Linked DNA regions of Pelodiscus sinensis. The protein of the gene in region 1 interacts with the protein of each later gene in a biochemical or structural test. Links are inferred from orthologs where the notes say so. Each region holds a gene or a part of one and is shown on either strand. Other genes may lie near its edges.

Region 1 (7,091 bases):
GGTAGGGATGACGGGTCCAGTACTTTACCACGCCATGGGTGAATATATCATGCAGATAAAACAACCTCTCATTGTCACCATTACACTTTAGTCTCGTCTGTTCCTTAACTCGTGGCATTTGTTTATTTTTGAGCTTCCTTTTATTCAACCCAATAATTTCTTTCCCTTCTTGTTTTGCTCCACGACCATGAAGTGCAATATTGATGAATACTGGTCAATCTCTCTTCCCAGCTCCAGCTTCTTTCTAGCATTCAAAGCAGTTTGCTTAGGCCACAGGGCAGCTTTTCACCAGGCACAGAGCAAAAAGGGAGACTGACCTGCTCCAGTTCTGGCTCTGTCCTTGCACAAATTACTTGGACAAGTTTATTTAATCTCAGGGAGGGAACATGAGCTAGGGCTTAGAGTAGGGGACAGAGTCGGGCTGCTGTAACAACTTAGTGTGCAGGATTTGCCAGCATCTTTTCATCACATGTCCATTCATGGCATGGAGTAGGCATGTATATATCCTCTTAGGAAGTGCATATATCTAAGAGCAAATGGTAAGTGGATTCATGCGATTTTGCTTCTAGACCCGGACAATTGGGGGGGGGGCTTTACTATGCAATTCCTCAGTTAAACCCACATTCATCTTCTAATTATTTTTCACTGCTGCACCCATCAAAGCCAGTACTGGTGTGTGGCCATTGTCACACCACTTAGTTCTGGATCCATGTCAGACCAACTTGGTCTGTGTCAACTGGATCAAACAGGGCATAACAAAATTGAGCTATCAAGTCTAGATCCAGTTTCTTTCGCTCTGGGAAGAGGTATTCTTCCACCTCGGTTGTCTCTTCTCCTTGGAGGAGACTGCTAATTCAAGGTACTATGTTTACAAGGTAGATTAAGTTCTCCTGGGCCCTGGATGTTCCCTTCATCATCCTGTATAATAGGCTGTTCTTAGCACAAAATGTAGAAAGCAAAATCAGACTGTTTCTGTAACAGCTATGTGCAACTCAAAGGGGGCAGAAGGAATCCTCTTCCCTCTGTTCTAGAATACTATTGGATAAACCCACCAACCTTCCCAGACTGAGTTTACCTCTGCACTTCACTTTCACGGATGTGAAGCATGGACATTCATTCTTCCTCTGCGGGTTTGTTAAGGATATAAGAACGGCCATACGGGGTCCATCTAGGATCCGGTCTTCTGACAGTGCCAGATGCTTCAGAGAGAATGAGCAGAACAGAGCAATGCTCAAGTGACTCGTTCCCTGTAGTCCAGTCCCATCTTAGTTCCCACTGTTCTTCTGTTTAGTCACACAACTCCCCGTTTTCTCTACGCAAGTGCACCTCCCTTCCGACCACCTTCTCTAGTTTTGTAGGGCCAAACCTCTGCTGGGAAGGACTCTTCATCTTGTAAGGGGACGTGATGTCAGGAAGGTTTTATGAGAGCAGTCTTCCATTTCCTCTGGATCCTCGGCCACCTCCAGCAGTAGTCCTTGAGGATGAACAAGATATGTCATTTTCCTATCCTGGGCTATAGGTGCCATATTGACAGACTTTCAAAAAGGGATGGTTTTTCCACCTTCCCTCAAGTGTCCCATAGGTGGGATTCAATTCTTGAGGGGGTTAGGGCCAATGGGATTAAGTCCTTTTCATGACAGTCTAGCTGCAGGCAGAATCCAACAGTGCTTAGATTCTTTAGCTTGCACGAGAATCCAGTTGGGAGAAAGAAAAGGAGAGATTCCCATCCCGACCTGTCCTGTGATCCATCTCGCAAAGTGATGCTTCCATTCCACTGGCGGGCATCTTCTGTAGCAGGGGGCACCTCTCTTTCCAGCAGTGGAAATGCAAATTCTCCAGTGCTTCATCCTCTCAGAGTTGCCAACAGGGTAAGATTGCTTCCAACCCTGCTTAGGTTTCCTCACTGCATAGCAAGGGACTAAGCTGAAAGCTACTGGAACATTTTAAGTCCTTTGGAGACAGAGTGGAGGGGTTTTCTCTCTCTCTGTAACTTGTCCCTTCAGTTTTACCTCAGGCTAGAGCAGGCCCAGATTATAGCTAAACTGAGCTACCACTGCTCCACTGCCAGCTCTGCTTCAGAGAAATGTTATGGTTCAGTCTCAGCCTGATGCGAGCACACCCATTCTTCCGCTCCAAGAGGCAACAGGTGCATTGATTGCTCCAAAACTATCGGTCCCACTGGAGGGGCAGACTGAATCGAGCGTTAACTATTTCTCGCCAGACCATAACGATGACTTTGGGCCTTCTCCCAGTCGGGTCGCTCTCCTCCTGGAACTGAAGTCTCTGAGATTGCTAAATCATAGCATTTCAACCCGCAGAAGAACGTGGATCTGTATGTGTCGTAAATATGCACATCCAGGGTTGCAACCACCTTGCTCTTCCCTTATTGCAATAGAGAAGGCAAATGTTGGAATAGAAGAGTCAACCGGAGACATGTCCCCCAAAACAGAAGAGGCTGAATGGAAGGAGAACGACAGCTCTCACTTGCTGCGAGTCCAGTTTCACATGCCCCTAGCTTGAGGTTCAGACAGGGCTGATGCAGAGCAGAAACCTTCAGACTGGAGGTCCTACAAGTACCTATGGCCACTCGTTCACAAACCTCTAGGAAGGCTTCTGGGTCATCGACTGGTCACATCTTAATTAACAAAAGGCCTGGTGCCATGGAGACCACCCGGCTTGATGCATTTGGGTTGAATAAGACGACCGGATTCATCAACAGGACTAGCTATCGCCAGCAGCTGCGGCTCCTGCTGGTTCTGTTGAACCAGCAACTTCTGCTGCAAAATGGCAGCTTGTATCCATTCCTGTGGGTCACATCAATCCTTGTCTTTCTCGGGCACCAGTTTGTTTCCTGGCCAGGGAGTGTATACTGGGTCTTACATTTCACCTTTAGGGCAACACTTTACAGGGATTCACAACCAGGCAGCTCCACTTCTTGGACCAGCAGCGAGAGCTCTGATAGCACAGTTGTTCATTCCAGCAATACTAGTCCTTTAAGAGTCTGAATTAGCCCCTCCTAAGTGAAGCCAGGTCCAGTTGTTACAAAAGTTTCCTTTGCTATTGCTTCAGGCCAAGCTCACATAGTAACACAGCTCCACAGCCAGCTTACTTTACCCAGCTTCTGATAGGAACGCTTCTCTCTTGATAGCTAGTGGATAGTTCTAAACAGCCCTGGTTGGCTTGTCTCGGCTCAGCCTCCTTCCTCCAAACTCTCAGGGAGACTATTTTTCTTCCAGCCAGCCAGCTCCCTTCTGAGGATATAAGCACTGTCATCAACTTCAGCTGAAGCACTTCCTGTTTCCCAATGTCTGCATTAACCCTTTCCTTCCTCCTTGGGTGCACAGGCCCCTACCATAGATCTACTGGGGCTAGGCATGAATGCTCCCAGCAAAAATACAGACTCAAGGCTGAACTCTTCAGTTGCTGCAGGACAGAGAATGCAAGAACTGGTGAAATGCCATGAAATTGCTGTTCATAGGTGGTAAGAGGCTGGTGCGGAACTATTTGAATTAATTCTTTTGCTAGATCAGTTCAAAACACACCTTGTCTGTCCTGACTATGCACAGTCAGATGTGAGAGCAGAAAAAAGTCAATGCAAGTAAGAGGCAGAGATAAAAGAGCCAGTGGGATGGATGCATAAGATCCATGTCTGGCATGGATACACTTCCCCAAGCACGCCGCAGCACACTTCATTAGGACCAGCAGTTCCAGCATTGAAAAGTTCCAAAGACTCATGGAAAAGGAGGAGCAGCTAAATCAAGGGTCTCAGACTCACGGCCCAGGAGGCATCTGTGGCCCAAGCAGTTCCACAATCCAGCCCTTGCATGGCTGCTGGCACGCTGAGTCCCTGTGGCCTTGGAGGAGGGAGGGGTATCTGTACCCTTCCCCCAAATCCAGCCTTTGCTCTGCTCCCATCCTGCCTCTTCCCAGCCCTGCTCCACCTCCCCCCCCCCCCACTGCACCCCATCCTTGAGGGGCCTGGCACAGGGCAGTAGTAGGTGTCAGGCCTCCCCACACTCGCTGTGGTGGTGGGAGCCACAGGGAAGCAGAGCAACTCAGCAGCCTCTGCTCCACCCTCATCTCCCAGGCCAGCCCAATCGCTCTGCTACTCCCTGCTCCAGTGTGGGCTGCTTGGGAGATGACAGTGGAGTGGAGCAGGCTGCTGTGTAGCTCCGCTTCCCTGAGACTGCCGGTGACGCGGTGAGTGTGGGGGGGTGACTCTGTTTCCTGCCCCAGCCTGCCCAAGGATGCGCAGGCTAAGCTGAAAAGGGAGGACCCTCCTGTCCATAGAATGGTTGGGGCAACTGGCACGGGACCCCCCAAAGCACACAGGTTAGCTCTGCACACGTGTCCCCCAGGCCGCAGGGACATGCCGGCAGTGGCACAGAGCTGGCAGCCGGAAGCCGTTCCAGCCCCGCTGAGATAGGGGAGCTCTGTCAGAGCGGGGTTCCCGCTGGCCCACAAGGAGGATTTGGGGATGGGCACTGACCCTAAGGTAAATTGCATTGTGACCCCGATCTAAAGGGACCCCACAAGGATGCTGACTCTGGCTCTGTTTCCAAAGAACATCCAGAATATTATTGGCAATGCTCGTGTTCTGACAAATACCTTTCTCGCAACTCACAAACATTAACAGCGGCAAACACAGGTTCCGCCTTCGGGCCTGAGCAAGCCATCCAAAAGGGCCTGTTTTAAGAACAAGAACGGATCATGTCTTCAGAAAGCCACCCAGCTGCAGAGAGACTTTATGCAGGTGTGTGATAATCCCTTGTGAAGGTGGAAACCTCACCCTAAACTCCACCCTCCACATCTCCATTTGTGCTCTGTGACGAGGTGTATAAATCCCCACGTTGATTAAGCAGGGGTTAACAGGAACCTGAGCCCACTTAGACCAGCTGCAGATGCCTGCAGAGGGTGGCAGGCTAACTGGAGATCAGTCCCAGCTGGGGAAAAGCTGGGCCTGCATAAAGGAAGAAGCACAAGGCCCTGGAAGAGAAATCTGGGAAGAAAACCAGCTGAGGGGTGGTGGAAAGTTGAATAGTGCCTGGGAGATCTAGAGACTCTGCTGTGAAATAGAAATAGGGGAGAGCTTCTGAGAATCCCAGCATGATATCTGGGGGAAGGAAGATACAGGATTTGCACAGGAAATCTAGGAAGCTGAGGGTGTCAGGGAAGGCCACTGGCAATATGGAAACAATCCTTGTAATGGGCAGTTAAAAGGTGAAGCTTCCAGAAGATGGTGATTTTCACTGCAGGGGACCCAAATGAGGGTTAAAAATGGAGCTGTGGATGAGGGAGTCTGAAAACGGCAGGAGAGAAAGGGTTCTTGTGGGGGGGGGGGAGCCTGCCCACTTGGTAAAGGGGTGGGAGTTTGTTTGAATGGTCAAATGTGAAGCCCCTCCGGGAAGGCCTGTCTATCTTCACGCCTGAGCAGAGAGGGTGACGGGACTAGGCATTGTCATGTGGGTTTGGGTGTGATGTACCAGAGAAAAGGCAGGAATAAACATGACTGGGCCAGGGCTTACAAGGAGACCTGAACTGCGGTAGGTCTGGACTGGAGTGACTGTCAGCAGGTGGCACTGGGAAGGACAGCCTGCTATGGCATGCCTGGCTAGGAGAAAGTGCTTTCGAGGTGAGTCTGCCCTTCCATAGGGCTTTATTAACTGACTGCAGGAGCATGTAGACAGTGTTGTGTTGTGTTGTGGGGGGGTGTTTTTGTTAATTATCGATTTGTGTTAAGGGAGGCTGTAGCGATAGTTACTGAATCGGTGGATACTGACCCCTGCAGTGTAACCCCACGTCCAGTGAGAGGAACCAGCGAGAAGTTCAGTCTCCTATTAGCACTTGGACCTGTCCCCCCACTCTACCACAGAGTAGAGCACTCATGTCTTTAACTGCTGATGCTTTATGGAAGGATACAAGAGCAGGAGCTGAGCTATAGAGACTAAACTCTGATCCTATCTTGCAACCTAAAGGATCTACAGTAATTTAGCAGTTTTTGGTGCTATAGACGGACTGAACAAATCTGCCTCTTTGTTAGGAAATAGGAGGCATTGCTCTTGGGAAAGCCAGAGGCTTTTCTTTGAATGACCTAGCAGCAGTCACTCTGCCTCTACCCCAGTCCAGCCAATGGTGCAGCCCTGAGACCCTTTCCCCGTTCTTATGCATGCCGGATACTCCTGGTTGCCGTGTTGCGTGTACACTGCAATGGAAACACTCAGCCCCACTCTGGCGCTGTCTAGCTCGACCTGCCACCCGCTTCTGGAGCAGCCACAGTGGAGAACCACCTAAGTATTGTTGGAAACTGGCAATAGCAGAGCAGTCACTATCTGTCAGGGATACTCCTCCGCCAGTCCCTCCCATCCCAAAGGGGGTTTACAGGGAGTGTCGGCCCTCCCTCTATACCAATTTCCCATGCACAGTACTTAGTTTTCAGGCACTGAGTTTCGGACATTGCTTAATGGACCAGATTCAGGCCACCAGAAGCCTGTGAAGCCAGCCAGTTTGTCCTCAGTGTATTTAACCTGCCTTTGTATGCTTTCGATTGGACCGAGGTGTCTGGAAAGGGCCCTGGGTTTGGGCAGCAGTGGGTAGGGATACCCTGCACCTGCCTAAATACAGCTGTACACATTGTAGGCGACACAGAGCCTGCTCCAAATTCCTTACATGCTGGAGTGACTAGCAATCCTGGGACAATTCCTGCACACCAGCTGACTATCTGAATGACGGGTGTGACCAGTCCAATCACAAGCAGGTTCACCAGGATCATGCCATTTTAGTGTGAGGAGCAAGAAGGAAACTAACTGAACCTTCTCAGTAAGAAACATGCCAACCAGTCCTTTGGTACGTTAACAGGGACAGCTGTACAAAACAAACAGCAGTAGAAGACGGGGGGGAGGAGGGGACAGACACCAGGCAGAGGCGACAGACCTAGGAACGGGAGCAGTTCAAGGCCCCAGATTCTCCTGCCTGCTGTCCTTCCCTCCTCCCTGCCCTCCAATGGGCTGGAGCCACATAGCAGTGAGCGCCAAGGGGACACCACATCCCTGTGCTGCCTCTGTCAGTGGGTTCTGCCCCGCAGCTCCCATTGC
Region 2 (7,957 bases), on another chromosome or scaffold:
TGTAATAGTGATGTTAAATGGAAATTAATCAACTATTCGATTAGTTGACAAGGCATCTTCACCTTCACCCCCGTCAGCTCTTGCTACACTTCAAAGGCCAGGGAACACCGGGCCCTCAGGGGACTCAAGCTGGCCCCATGCTCCCTGCTTTTGAAATGTACAAGAGCTCCCCTTGCTTCTGCCTTTGAAATGTAGCAAGAGTGGGACTCTTGTAGGTTTCCAAAGCAGAGAGCATGGGGTCAGCTTGAGTCCCTCGCTGGCCCCTTGCTCCCCACACACTACATTTCAAAGGCGGAAACACCACCAGTTCCCCAATGAGATTTTTTTCCCCCACTGGCTTTTAAGCCAGCTCCCTCCAGCACCAGCTCCTGCTCCCCCACCCTTGCTGCCTCTATCAGAGAGAGGCAGCGAGGCGGGAGGGAAGCAACTAGTTGCTTATATCCCTAGTAATCGACAGGACTAACTGATAAACCCAGGCTGATCAGTTAATTGTGTAGTAATCTATATGTTCACATCACTATTAGAGACTAACAGATTTTGGTCTCTAATGTGCCACAGGACTCATTATTCTTAGCAGATAGAGACTAATCCAGCTACCCTTCTGAGACTTAAGAATGTGAGTAAGCCCACTGAAGTCATGTGCTTAAAGTTATGCACATGCATATTTGAAGGATCAGAGCCTACCTTTGCTACTTAACTGCTATGGATCTGATGGTACAAACACATCTACCCATTGGGATCTTTACTCCCATTAAAGCCAATGTGAATCCGCTTAGGAGTCAGAGTCTGAGTGTGCAGATTGTATACTATATAGCATTGGACCTTACACATACAAAAATCCTCTCCCATCCCCCCCAATCAATGTTGCTCCTAAGTCATAAGGCAGGATGTGTCATGGCATTAGAGACAGAAGAGACATTAGATCTATTAGTCTGTTTACCTTCAAAATATTCCACTTCCTTTTCCAGCTCCTGGAAAATCCTGTCAGCCTCAGCTTTGCGGAACAAGATCCTGTAATCACAGTTCAGACCCTCTGCCCGGATTTGCTTCCATGGAGAATGCACCAAGGCCTCCTCTGCACCTGGCATTTCTGAGCAGGCCTTCTTCTTTTCTCTCCCATCTCTCACACAATCCAGCTCTCCTCCCTTCATGTCTAAGGGGGCTTGTTCATTCTTGCCTGGAAAAGGCCTTTTGACCACGAACTTATCCATTCCTAGCTGCCCTTAAGAAACAGCCATCAGCCTGCAACTCCAGGATCTGATGGGAGTTCACTGCTGATTTTGGACTGCCTAGAACCACAGTGGCTTGGAAGATTTTAAGTGCTCCTAAGTAATAGGGACTTAAAAATACCTGCATGTGAATCCTGAGATGGGTGTCACTGCACCTCTTTAGGGTGGAGCATGCAGTCACTCCAAGGTCATCCTCAGAGTCTGGGCCAAGCTCCTAGAACCAGGCAGATCCTTGATTAGGACTCCACTGAACATGGCCTGGCTGTCAGCTTGCTAAGGATCTTCAGGCCCCAGAAACAGCTCCTGCAGGCCTCATTTCCAGCAGCAGTAGCTACTTCCTGCTGCAGACACTCAGCCAATCATTCCACCCTTGCTCAGCTCAGTTTTGCTGTGAATCCTAGCAAGGTCCACTGGCACCACCTACTGGATCTTCTTGGAAGCATTTATAAATTATTAGAAACCATTATCTTCCTGATTCCTCCATAATATTTATATGGCATCATACGTGTACACAGCCCTCTTTAACTGGTGAGTGTGCCAGAAAATGTCATTTATTGTGTATGGCACTGAGGACTTCCTACAAAGCCGCCCCTCCTTTAATCTATTAACCAGCCAAAAAATGTTTACTAGTTAACGAATTAAACAGGGTTTTACGTCCCTAGTTCAAACACAGAATAGTAGACTGCCCTGTGCCAAAGACCTTATAATCCAGATAGATCCAGGTAGGGAGAAAACACCAGCATAGTGGATAATGAGATAGTGGCAAATGCAATGGTAGTACCACATTTTTTAAATTTATTTATTTTTGGTGTAAGGATACTTAAAGAAAATCAGTGAAATACAAAAGGGCAGAAGAGGGTAAGAGGCATTGTCACTTTAATCTTTCCATACTTATTTCTCTATTTGTAAGTTAGGGATAATAGCAGCTCATGGGTAGTACAGAACACAATGTTTTGTTATTTTTTTAGGTAGTCTCTCAAGTGAGCCTCATCACTGCTACATCCACTATAAAACTGGTGGGCTGTGTCTATACTGGTGCGATCTTGCACCAGAGCTATGCAAATGAGGCTCAGCGTGGAATATCGCCAAGCCTCATTTGCATAACTAATGAGTCACCATTTTTGCGGAAGAGGCTCTTGCGCAAGACGGAGCTGTCTACACTGCCCCTTCTTGCGCAAGAAAAACCCTCTTGCACGAAGCCGTTATGCTGATTATTTTCAGGCATAACGGCTTTGTGTAAGAGGGTTTTTCTTGCACAACAAGGGGCAGTGTAGACAGCTCCGTTTTGCGCAAGAGCCTCTTCTGCAAAAATGGTGGCTCATTAGTTATGCAAATGAGGCTTGGCGATATTCCACGCTGAGCCTCATTTGCATAGCCCTGGTGCAAGATCGCGCCAGTATAGACACAGCCATACAGTTAGTCAGAGGGGGTCAGGATTTACTGTTACGATGTCCTTATAGGTTTCTGATGCCATGGATGATGATAAACCAGAAGGCTGCTTCCGTGTGTGCTCAATGATGTGTGCCATGTAGACTAGTGCACTTAGTCTGCATGGCAGACCCCAAGAGAGCCCCCAAAGACCACAAATCAGATAAGGATTGAAAGTGCCAGGCCAGGTTTATTGTTAAACAAAATAAAGTGATAGTTGTCCGTAGACTTTACCAAACCACTACGCATATGCGATTCGTAACAATGGAATGACTCAATCAATGGAAAATTTCCACTGCCCCCTAGATCATCCACAGACTGTCCCCCCAAAATACCACTTTATATACAAGTACTAGCAACTTATACATCACTCCTGACGTAACAGGTTGCCACTCTTTGATGCTACTTAGATACCACTCACCATCCTCTACCTCGTGGTTTGATTAGATCTTTATCCATCATGCTGTCACTTTAGAGCTTTTCCTGAACTTGGGTAGGTATCTGTGGGGAGTGTAGGTACCAAGGTCTTTTTAATTAGCTAGTGGTACCACATGCTTTCAACTTTTGACCAGTACCAATTACTGTTTTTCAGTTGATACCTAGCACCAATTACTGGTCTATACGTGGAATCTATTGCCATTTAGCGTTTTGCACTCTCAGTCCTGTTCGTGCCCAAGTTCTGTGAGGAGGGGCCTACCTCCTGCTCACAGCTTAACTTTGTTTTGTTAGCCATGTTTTGTCCATTGTTAGCTAGGTCTCAGGCCTCAAACCAGGACTGTGCTACATAGGCTTTTGTTTTAGGCCTTCATCTTACTACAACTGGTCTCTCTTGTCATTTCCATAATTCTTCATGTATTTTCTCTTTCCTCTATGAGGTTTTCAGCTCCTTCAGTCAGGGTTGACAGAATCAATTACTTAGCATATGTAAAGAGCTCTGAGGAACCTATTACTCAAGAGTTAAGTTATTGCATTTTGCTTGTTAAAGATCCAGTTCTGATCTAACAGAACTCATTTACAATTGAACTGCATGGAAGCTAGAGATGTCAGTCTAAAAACAAGATTAGGGAAGGTTGGGAATGGACAAAAGCTGAATGTAAGAATAGAAGGAAGAGGTGTGCAAGTTCACTCTGTTTTCTTGAGATGACAAACCACACCAGCACAGCCAAAGCTTTCAATGGGTAGAACTTGCATGCCATGTGGATAGGAGAACTGTCCTACTTGAGTAGGAGCAGATTTGGAATTAAAGCTCACATCCCTTGCTGGTGCCACCGCTTGCTTTGTTCAGGCCCAGCTGTTCCAATGAAAGACTTCCTCAAAGACTTCAGATCAAAAAAGGAAGTGGGTCTGGCCCACGAAAGCTCATCATCTAATAAACCATCTTGTTAGTCTTTGAAGTGCTACATAGTCCTGTATTTTGCTTCAGCTACACCAGACTAACAGGGCTACATTTCTATCACATCTCTTCCAGAATAGTAATAGAAATGTAGCCCTGTTAATCTGGTGTAGCTGAAGCAAAAAACAGGACTATGTAGCACTTTAAAAACTAACAAGATGGTTTATTAGATGATGAGCTTTCGTGGGCCAGACCCACTTCCTCAGATCAAATAGTGGAAGAAAACAGTCACAACCATATATACCAAAGGATACAATTAAAAAAAAGTGAACACATATGAAAAGGACAAATCACATTGCAGAACAGGAGGGGGATGGGGGGGGGGAGAGGAAGGTAGGTAAGTGTCTGTGAATTGATGATATTAGAGGTGGGGAAAGTTAGATGTCTGTGAGCTAATGATATTAGAGGTGATAATTGGGGAAGCTATCCTGGTAATGGGTAAGATAGTTTGGGTCTCTTCCAGAGGCTCTTTAACTGCCTCCCTCCCTGGTGCTTCCACCCCCCTGCCTGCAGCCACACATCACCTGCCCCTGTTGGAAACTGGATCACAGTGAAACTGGGGGGGGGGGACCATGAGGAGAATGGGGGAATGAGGGGGCACGGGGGTACTGAAGTGGGGGCAAGGATGGAAGCCTGGGGGGGCAGGGAAGATGGGCTGTGACTGGAACTAAAACAACGCTCTCTCCCCCACGTGCGTGAGTGCTCGCAGGGGCGGGGCACGGCTCCACTGCGCACGCGCCCACGGTCCCCAGGACCCTCTCAAGCACGCGCTACTGCAACGCTCCCCCCTCCCCGCGCATGCGCGCTCGCTTGGCGCCAATTTCGCTCGGTCCTTCAGCCAGGCGGCCGCCGGCCACCATCTCCGCCGGCTCCCGCGCGGGGAAGGGGCCGCCTGTGCCTGGCTGGCAGGACCGTCGCCACCGCCGCTGCCCCTGTGTGGACGGGGCCGCCCCTGCCCAGCCCGCCCGACCCGCGGGGCTCAGCCGCCGGCAGCATGATCGGGCAGAAGACGCTGCACTCGTTCTTCCGCGCGGCGCCGCCGAGGAAGCGGGAGCGCTCCCCGCAGCAGGGCGGGGAGACTGAGGTACCGTGAGGGGCGAGCGCCACCAGAGCGTGTTTAAAGGGCTCCCCCGATCAAAAGCGGCGCCGCTGTGGGGATTGGCCAATAGCAGGGCTCTCCTTGGCCCGCGGGCGGGCCGATACGGGAGGGGGTGGAGCCAGGCTGCTTGGCCCTGTGGTCATTGGCTGGTTTCCATTCTCACTGTCCAATGGGAGGCGGTGTCTGGGCGCTGTTGATCCCGCGGAGAGGTCAGTCGGCGCGTCTTCATAGCCAGGGGCCAATAAGAAGAGCGGTAGCTCTGCTAGTGGCCCATGAGGAGCGGGAGGGCGGGGCTAGGCTGCCATGTTGGGTTTCTCCCTCCCCTTCCGTGACTGAACCTCCAATAGAAAGAGGCGTTCCCGTGCGGCGGGAGAGAAACACGCGCGGTTTTCCCGCGAAGTGGCCATGTGCTTGTCACTAAGCCCCGCCCAGGCTGTCCCCCGCCTCCGCCTCCCAAGCCGCCCTGCCCGGCTCCCCTGACTCTTTCCCCTATGGGCCCGGCCAGGACCCGGTTCCTCCAGGGGCCGGGCCGTAGCCCTCTCCTGTGTCGCCTGCTCCAGGCCAGCTGCGCCAAGAAGCTGAAACCGGAGGGACATGACTCGAAGGCCTCGCCCCGCTCCCCTCCGCTGAGCCCCGAGCAGTTGGAGCGGATCCGCAGGAACAAGGAGGCGGCTTTGCAGAGACTCGCTTCGCGGAGTGTCCCCGCGGGCTTTGGAGAGGGCTGGAGCCGGCAGCTGGCGGGGGAGTTCACCAAGCCCTACTTCTCCCAGGTGAGAGAGCGCGGCTTCCCCCGCGGGGAGCATCGTCCTGTAATTGCTCGGTGCCTGCCCCTTTCACTCGCCTGCACTGACCGTGACCCATCCTGCTTCCCCCTTCTAGCTAATGGCATTTGTTGGCGACGAGCGAAAACGGCACACCATCTACCCACCCCCGCAGCAAGTTTTCACCTGGACGCAGATGTGCGACATCCGAGATGTAAGTTCCCCAGCGGAGACCCCTGCTGGGGGGAGAGATGGGGTTTGCTGTGTTCTGGTGTTTTCAACAAAACCATGAAAGCTGTGTTTGCAGTCTGGCTGGCCAGGTGTTCGACTTTCATGGAAACCCAGTGCTTTAGGATGTGAAATAGTGATAGAAATGTAGCTGTGTTAGGATGTGAACACTGCTTTTTCTCCTGTCGTGTTTTTGTATACTTTTACCTTCTTTTTCTCACCCAGTTCTATGTGTTGATGATCTTCATCCATGATTGCAACATAGCACTCTTGAAAACTTTAGTTGTTTTCTTCTTCTCTTTTCTCTGGCCCTACCCTTTTCTATATTGTTTTCTTTCAGGTGCACTTTGGTTCTGATTTAGAAAGTTTTGCTTTTTTAGCAATACATACAAGTCCATATATTTTAAGATATTATGACATTTTGCTGGGCTCTCAGCACTAATTAGCATCTGTGTTCAGGTAAAGGTTGTCATCTTGGGACAAGATCCTTATCATGGACCCAGTCAAGCTCATGGACTCTGTTTCAGCGTCCAGAGACCTGTTCCACCTCCACCTAGGTATGACTATGCTTTTAGTTATTTAAAACTCTGCCACTGTTTACTGGATAGGTTATTTATAGGAATACATTATTTGTAAGTGACTGTCTTTGAGATACATGTCTTGTGACACTGAAAAAATAATTTTATAACATGACCAAGTACTTCTACTTATTGGGAAGTGGAAAGGTAATCATAAGAATAACTCATATTGAATTTTTAAAGTGTATACTTTCTGGGAAAGTATTACTATTGAAACAAATAAGTAAATTTGGACTTGGACTTCTAAGATGGTGGTGTATTCCAAGGATTTAAGCTCAATCCTACAAAATTGGGTTTCCATATTGAGCCAGTTGTAATGTGAGAGCTTTATATAGGAATGGCCATCAGTTTGGTGGAACAAAAGAGCTTTTCTTGTTTTGGTTTCAGAAAGATCTTTATTTTTTAAACTAGATTGGATTAAATTTGCTTGTTTTCTTATATTGAATAAAGGCACTAGCCTGTGGCCCTGTTTACTCAGGCCTGCATCCTGCAAATCCTTAAGCAGAAGCTTAACTTCACGTAGATGTGTAGGCCATTTACCTTCAGTAAACATTTGCATAAAAGTTAATAGGTCCAGTTAGAGGTAAAGAAAAGGGCCCTGTTGTACATATTAAATACATCAGATGACTATAACTTTCCTAAAGGGGAGTTGAATGAAGTGCCTAGAATGCTAAATCAGTTTTTTAGTTCATGGCAATAGTTTCTACTGAAATACACAAAATCATTAGTTTGTCTTAATTTGATTAGTTTCACAGAAATATATTTAAAATCTTTTCCTTTATTTTTGTTTGTAGTTTGGAAAATATTTACAAAGAGCTGTCTACGGACATAGAAGATTTCACCCATCCCGGTCATGGAGATCTAACTGGGTGGGCCAAGCAAGGTAATTAATCAGTTCAACCTTCCTGGATTCTCGTTTAGGCTGTGTCCCTATTAGCACTCACATTGGCAAAGTTTATGGGGAAAAAAAACCCAATCCTGAGCAGCCTAAGGTTTACCAGTATAAGTGCTCAAGAGCACAGCATTATGTCAGTGAGAGATGCTTTCCTGCCAGTGTGGCTAGCATTGCTCATTGAACTCGTTTTATTGTTTCCATGGGAAAGCTCTGTCCCATCAGCATAACACAGCTAGATAAGCACTCTTATAGTGACACAGCACCGTCAGTACTGCTGTGCCGTTGTAAGCTTTTATAGATGTGGCATTATTGGGCATTTTCCTTCTCAATGGGTGCATTGTGGCAG

What was found.
Region 2: of the proteins of DCAF1 (region 1) and UNG, one has a biochemical effect on the other in vitro, tested with the Homo sapiens proteins (2 studies listed by BioGRID, with this or other methods). The link is inferred for Pelodiscus sinensis from reciprocal best matches to the Homo sapiens genes DCAF1 and UNG.

What each region holds. Positions count from the first base shown.
Region 1 is NC_134721.1:43,464,409-43,471,499, forward strand, and holds the start of DCAF1 (DDB1- and CUL4-associated factor 1), read right to left. Parts: upstream 3,246-7,091; 5' UTR 1,076-3,245; intron 1-1,075. UniProt on the Homo sapiens protein: Acts both as a substrate recognition component of E3 ubiquitin-protein ligase complexes and as an atypical serine/threonine-protein kinase, playing key roles in various processes such as cell cycle, telomerase regulation and histone modification.
Region 2 is NC_134725.1:36,986,455-36,994,411, forward strand, and holds the start of UNG (uracil-DNA glycosylase), read left to right. Parts: upstream 1-4,841; 5' UTR 4,842-5,044; coding exon 5,045-5,134; intron 5,135-5,709; coding exon 5,710-5,919; intron 5,920-6,028; coding exon 6,029-6,124; intron 6,125-6,597; coding exon 6,598-6,695; intron 6,696-7,510; coding exon 7,511-7,599; intron 7,600-7,957. Other genes in the region: DNA oxidative demethylase ALKBH2, read right to left, coding at 941-1,211. UniProt on the Homo sapiens protein: Uracil-DNA glycosylase that hydrolyzes the N-glycosidic bond between uracil and deoxyribose in single- and double-stranded DNA (ssDNA and dsDNA) to release a free uracil residue and form an abasic (apurinic/apyrimidinic; AP) site.